2 linked regions of the Kluyveromyces lactis genome follow. The protein of the gene in region 2 interacts with the protein of the main gene of each other region in a biochemical or structural test. Links are inferred from orthologs where the notes say so. Each region holds a gene or a part of one and is shown on either strand. Other genes may lie near its edges.

Region 1 (3,206 bases), on a different chromosome or scaffold from region 2:
TGATCACAGGAAGGGTTTCCTAAGAACTGGATACGACGCAGATTTTGTTATCTTCGACATCAATACCTATCAGACTGTCGACAACGATAAAGTTTATTTCAAAAACAAACTGACAGCCTATGATGGGTTCAAACTGAAAGGTTTAGTGAGAAACACCTATGTTAGAGGAAAATTGGCTTTTGAACTTGACGGCATGGGACATAATAAAAACCCTCCCGGCCAGACAATTCTTGAACGCAGAAGAACATGAAGTACCCCATCTTCTAATCATTTTTTTTTCTTCAATTTTGAATTACCTTTATTTGATGCATGATATACATATTATATATATATCACTTATGATTTAAATTTACCTAGAATATACTTCATTATTATAATTTCTAGAACAGCAATCGTCGGTACAAGAACTATGGAGCAAATTGATATGGTGACCAACCTCGATGCTATTGATTTAACAGTGTGGTGGTTTCTTTCTGCACGTGATTTGTACAGCTTCAAATTTCTTTCCAAGACTTGAAGCTGATCCTCTATTATATTTACAGAATCTTGCAGTGTCCTCACCAGTGAACTATCTATCGTCTCTCCTATCAAACGAGGATCTGCTGGCTTCGGTATCTGATCGAAACATATCTGTACAATGTCTAAATCAACAATCTTAGGATATTCATCACCAATGACACATAACGCATATTCACCAGTATGTTTCGCAGGAAATGTCCATTGCCCTTGCTCTTCGTCATCTTTGTAAATCATAGGATACTCTGTATCGTCCGGAGACCATAATTCATAGCTTACTCTGAAGGCATTGTTTTCTCCCTCTTGTACTGCGAAGTAATAAGATATTTTGCAGTCACTGTCATCAACATCAATGTAAACACATTCTTTCCCATTCTTCTGTAATTGTACCGTTATTGGTGAGCTTTGACAGACAATCACAAGCGAAAATACCCATAACCATGTAAACTTCATATTTAATAAGTTATACATGAAGGTTGCTTTGTGTGTAAATGTCCTTTTATTCGACAATTCCCCTTTTAACGTCCTGTTTCTGTTCATTAATATATGTCATTTCAATGTGAACTACTGCTGTTTGTTATTATATTTGGTTTCGACAATAAAAATGAAAACATCGCCAAAAAATGCATAGAATAAAAGAATCAACGGATATAGCGTATCTGTTCTTGTAGAGTCAAACCAATGGGTATACAGCTCGTCTGTTAGGCTTCATATTAGGTGGCAATATACACACTATAATTATGGATGACATTCCCGCTGAAATCATCCAGGAAATGGATGATTTGTACGATAAGGTACCACAGTTGTCATCCAGATACAAGCTACTGGATAAGATCGGAGAGGGGACCTTTTCATCGGTATATAAAGCTCAAGATCTTAGCAACGTATCTGGAAGGTTATACCCTGATCATTTCTGGGATAAGAATAGTAAACATGTGGCTATCAAGAGGATATACGTGACAAGCTCGCCGAACAGAATTGAAAATGAACTTAAACTCTTAGAGTTACTGTCAAATTCGAATAACGTAGCACCATTATGCGACGCGATTCGATACCAGGATCAGGTGGTTGTCGTCTTGCCCTGGTATCCGCATGAAGAATTCCGGCATTTCTACCGAGACATGCCTATCAAGGGGATAAAGAAGTACATGTTTGAACTTTTAAGCGCCTTGAAATACGTGCACTCATTTGGAATCATTCACAGAGACGTGAAGCCAACCAATTTCCTATACAACCCAATACTTGGGAGAGGTGTGTTAGTAGACTTTGGTTTGGCTGAAGAGAATGAAGAGTTGTACTTGCCTGACCTCAACTATCGTGTGTATGTTAATGACCAGGGAGAGAAGGTTTGTAATTGTTCTTCACCGTATGCTAACAACAAAAAGACATCACATCTGCCGTTGATATCCATTCAGAACGGGCAGCTTAACGTTAGAGGGGCAAATGAATTAAGTGCTGCACAAAGTGAGAATCTCATGAAGGCAGAATTGAGTAAGGGGTACCCAAAACATGAAACTAGGAGGCAGCGTAGAGCTAATAGAGCTGGTACGAGAGGGTTCAGAGCGCCAGAAGTGCTTATGAAATGTTCTTTCCAAACTCAAAAAATTGACATTTGGTCAGTTGGTGTGATACTGTTAAGTTTCATCAGCAGAAGGTTCCCAATCTTTCAAAGCATGGATGATATTGACGCCTTTCTGGAGATATGTTGCATTTTTGGAATCAAGCCCATGCAAGAAGTCGCCAAGTTCCATGGGTTGGGACTAGACATGACAAAGGTTCCAGGTTTCCATTCGGAAGGATATCCTGGGGGGCTACAAGGTTTTGTGAGAGCTTTACTTGACAAAGAAGTGGAGGAAGGAACATTACCAGAGTATTCCATAGCGTTCGAGACGTTGGATTATTTGACACAATTTGACAAACAACTCACGCCAAGTTTAGGCCCAGACGATGAAGAGGATATTGATGATAAAATACGGAGCTACAAACAAGCAGTTTGGGACGATCATTTTTGGTGTTTTGATCTCTTGGCAAAATGTTTCGAACTCAATTCATACAAAAGACCCAGCGCCAGTGATCTTCTTGAACATTTATGGTTCAAAGAACTGAACGAAGATTTACTTGATAGAGATCAAAGAAGAGAAGATCACTTCACCGGGGTCGTTGAGTAATGAAATCCAGAACGAAACAAAAATATTTGACGAAAATTAGCATATATTCACCGCAATAACTTAGAGCAGAACTCATTTTTTATATACATGCATTCATATATAGAGTTCTTTAACCGATAGAGTAATTTAATACTTTGCATTCATCATCATTATTATATTTAGTTTACAAACGTTGCCAACGCTTTGACGGCATAAGTTAGAGAACAAGTGCGTAAATAAACGAGTAAAACAGCGTTATTCACTTAAGAGAGAATGCTATAATACCCCAAGTCAAATATGTATGTGGTGATAGTAATTGGTGAATTCAGAACAAGAATGGGATCAAGAATGCTCTCTTGGTACCATATTTCTTGTTTTTCTTTTGAGCCCACAAGTACATCTGAACCACCGAGACAACAAGGAAAAGAACTGAGAATAAGTTCAACTTGAACAACAAAGTGAAAAACATCCAAGCCCAAGATTCAAAAGTGTAATTTGGAGCGACAAGTAGTTTGAACAACCCAGAATTCAATGGGACTCTCT
Region 2 (4,047 bases):
TGAAATTAAGATTATACTCTCCATACTTTGCCATCCGCGACCATTAAATTGTTTCTATCGCTCATAATCCTTAGACCAGCAACGTATTCATCAACAGTGAATTTTTCCTCTTCTGGAACTTGCTCGTTAATTCTTTCGAAAAGTGCGGCGACAGGATACGATTCTTCCTCGAAAATGTCTGATTGCATGAGTCTTGCAACAATACCTGAGAGTGACGATAACCTACCGGTTGAGATTGAACCCTGGTCCATCTCTTCGATGGACATAAAATCAAGGGTCATATGAGACGGTTCCAATTGAGAGCCAGTTTCAAGGGGTCCAGTTGAGGATTGCGAGGAGTGGTGGAGAACCTGTTGTTGATGGTCGCTTTGTGAAAGTACTCTTCTTTCGACTGATAGTTGGCGTCTCGGACTCACTCTCAAGTTTTGTTCTAGTCTTCTTTGAAGGTCTTCCTCTTGTTCTGGTGCTAACCGTACCATCGTAGATTCCAGACCGTCAGCAGGATCCGGTTGAGTCTCTGCCATTTCCTGGTCCTCTTCTGCATCCTCTGAGTCAACTTCTTTGTAAACGGCCCCTCTCTTCTTCCTTGGAGAAGCTCTTGGCTTCTTTCTTGGAGATTTTTCGGTTGTTCTGCCTTCGGCAAATTCCTGTTCGTCGAAGTTGGCTCCGTCCTCACCTAGTAATGCAAATCTTAGTAATTGTGTTGCTACCTTTGCATCTTCTAGTTCTACTTTCTTTGAAAGCCTTACCTTGGCATGAGCACTGGATAATCTGATTAAAGTTTCTAGAGTTCTTGCCGTGATAGGGGATTTCTTGGTGTTCTGATCGTTTCTTAGATTTGAATATGATTTGATGATAACGTCTACAGCTTCTTGAGTCAATTGAGGAATAATTCTCTCTTTTGCATACTGAATGTATTTTCTGATGAAGGGTATCGCAACAATTTGAGGAAGCTCGCTACCATTGCTATCACCTCTGTTCTTTGCAAGCTTCGCACCGGCGTGTAGAAGTGGATTGAATTTTTCGAAAACTACGTCCTCATCATCATCTTCTTCCTCGTTTTCGATATCTTCACCAACAGCCAATGATAGATTTATTTGCTCTCTAACAGGTTCACCTTCCAAATATCCAGGAGGTAAGTACCTATGTGTTCTCAAGACATGTTCACTGATAGCTCTATCTCTGATGTCGTTGATATCATCCGTAACCACAAATAGTAAATCGAAACGAGATAATAGAGAATCCGGTAGGGCAATATTTTTATGTGGATCTTTGTTAACGTCATATTGACCGAAAACAGGGTTTGCAGCTGCGATAACTGAACAACGAGCATTCAATGTTGTATGTATACCAGCCTTTGCGATTGTTACTGTTTGTTGTTCCATAACTTCATGGATAGCAACTCTATCTACGTCGGACATCTTGTCAAACTCATCGATACAAACGATACCACGATCTGCCAACACCATCGCACCTGCTTCTAATCTTCTTTCACCAGTTTCTTTATCAGTAGTGACGGCTGCTGTCAAACCGACACCAGAGGAACCTCTACCCGTAGTGGCAATAGCTAATGCTGCTGTGTTCAACACAAATCTAAGCATTTGAGATTTAGCGGTGGATGGATCACCAACCATAAGGATATTTATGTCACCTCTTAGATGTGAACCGTTGGGTAAATTTTTTTCCACACCACCCATAAGCATTAATAGGATGGCTTTCTTAATGTGTTCATGGCCATAGATGGATGGTGCTAACGACTGGGACAAAGTGTCGAAAATATTATCATGCATTGATAGCTTATTGATATTTCTAATATCATTATCTGATAGCGTTTCAACGGCGGACACACCTGTAGACCTGGCATGTAGAGGGTACACTGTGTTACCAATTACAACAGTTCTGAAACCAGATAAAGCACCGTTACCCTTGTCGTTGTTATTAGAACCACCTGTTAGACCACCTGCACCTAATGACTTGTATACACCAACAATATTAATTCTATCACCTGGTTTTGTCTTATCCACTAAGTCATCATCCAAGATAACGTCAATGGATCTTGGTAATTGACCAGGAGGGGCCTTTTCGGGCATTTCTTGAACGGTGATTCGCTGGTGATCCATGTAATGACAAAATCCATACTCTGTGACCAGCTTATTACCTTCTTGATCCTCCTCTGGATAAATAGCTGGTGTTGGTACGGATGTGGTTAATGTTGTAGTCGCATCACGATAATCACGGTAATGATGATGGCCTGTGGTTTGGGCATAATGCACGGATCTGAGAAGTTTTGGCCTCACAAGTGAGGTTCTCGTTACAATCCCCTCTACTGAGATCAATTTATTCAAATGTGTTGAGTTTAAGGTACGTGGTGATAAAGAATTCGGACCGAAAGAACCCTTGAATGACAGTCTCCATTGTCTGCTGGGATCATTTTGGAATCCGCGAAACCCGAGAGGGCTATCATCTAAGGCCATTGCAGTCTCCGAAACAGCACGCTCCGCTGGTGGTAAAAAGAACGAGGGTACTTGTAAAAGTCCAGTCCAAAATGTTTTGTCAAATTCTCTTAAATCGTCAAGTGATACTGTTATTCTCAATGGCAATTGATTAGTGTCATGGTCCATCGTATCTTTGTCTGCAGTATTTAAATAATCATCATCCGTCTTTTTCTCTTTCACTACGTTGCTGTTAAACTCGAGTATTGATCTTATTTCTCGAGTATAATGCGAATGGGTATCCAAAAACTCTTGAAACCTTCGCATTCTGTCTGTAAAGACAGCATCACTTGTTTGATTCATAGCATCACTCATGATTGAATTCGGTACTTATGGTGTTTTTCAGTAGCAAAGTCCTTTAAACAGGGAGCGATAAATGCAATAATATTATTAAAATGAAGGTGCTAAAAATTAATGTTTCATTGGCACCAGTGCTGTTCTGGGATAGAAACGTTCTTGATATGGTTCTTCTAGTTTATTTTTGTCAGAATCGAGTTTCAGCTGTATTTTACCAACAGAATACGGCAAAGAGAAATGAGATTTGATGTTTTCGTCAATATCTTTTCCGTTTTTGGAAAAGAAAGAGGAATAATTTTCCGGGTAATGAGAAATGGCAACGCGTCAAAAAATAAAGGAAGAAGGGGTTAAAAATAACGACAACAGCAGGACTCGAACCTGCGCGGGCAGAGCCCAAAAGATTTCTAATCTTTCGCCTTAACCGCTCGGCCATGTTGCCATGTTATATGATAAAATGATGTTAGGTTCATATCACATGATCCAGAAGATGTCACTCATTATATTGTGAATTGGTAAATAATAAATACTATACCGCGCTTCACAGTGCAAGAAGAAACTACAGACCCTTGCCAACGTTCTGAACCTAGTATGGACATTAGATGGTATTAAAGAAAGTAATCTAACGAAATCATATTTGCCTACAATTGAGCTTTTGATATTGAAAGTTATCGACGATGAGCCAAAATTTGAAAAAATAAAACAAGGATGGTTTCCCAACCGTTTAGTAACTGGCAGTCTGCAAGTGCGGAAGAGTACACACACCCCATATTAACAGGGTTCAATGACAATGTAAAACGACAAACGGAAGCGTTAAAGAAGATTTAAATATATAAGAAATAGAATTAAGGATATAATGATATTTAATTGAGTGAAAAAAAAAATTACTGGAATAGAGAGAAAAAAGCTGATTTAAAAGGAGAAAGTGATAAAGAATAACGTATCTGATAGTATTTCCATCAATGACGCTTGACAAGGAAAGGAGCGATTGAGTGTTTTCCAGAAAAGAAAAAACAGTTTCTTGTTCTCCAACCAACAATTATAACTCAAAATCCATCCCATTGCTGAAAACCCACGTAAAACACCCAGAATATCATATAAGTTAATATATATAATTGGATGCTTAACAGTAGACGAAAAAAAATGGGGAATTAGATAGCGTACTAAAGAACACCGGGAGTAGCAACCAAAACCGTTCCAGGAAGGAAAACGACTTTTGTGGAAACACAGAAAGATGGACAAGTGAAAACATGCAAGGATA

What was found.
Region 1: of the proteins of MCM3 (region 2) and CDC7, one has a biochemical effect on the other in vitro, tested with the Saccharomyces cerevisiae proteins (2 studies listed by BioGRID). The link is inferred for Kluyveromyces lactis from reciprocal best matches to the Saccharomyces cerevisiae genes MCM3 and CDC7.

What each region holds. Positions count from the first base shown.
Region 1 is NC_006039.1:396,643-399,848, forward strand, and holds CDC7 (serine/threonine protein kinase CDC7), read left to right. Parts: upstream 1-1,256; coding exon 1,257-2,684; downstream 2,685-3,206. Other genes in the region: DAL1 (allantoinase), read left to right, coding at 1-250; ERP3 (Erp3p), read right to left, coding at 337-1,056; trans-2-enoyl-CoA reductase (NADPH) TSC13, read right to left, coding at 2,989-3,206. UniProt on the Saccharomyces cerevisiae protein: Serine/threonine-protein kinase. Needed for the initiation of DNA synthesis during mitosis as well as for synaptonemal complex formation and commitment to recombination during meiosis. Required for HTA1-HTB1 locus transcription repression.
Region 2 is NC_006041.1:1,980,035-1,984,081, reverse strand, and holds MCM3 (MCM DNA helicase complex subunit MCM3), read right to left. Parts: upstream 2,808-4,047; coding exon 12-2,807; downstream 1-11. UniProt on the Saccharomyces cerevisiae protein: Acts as a component of the MCM2-7 complex (MCM complex) which is the putative replicative helicase essential for 'once per cell cycle' DNA replication initiation and elongation in eukaryotic cells.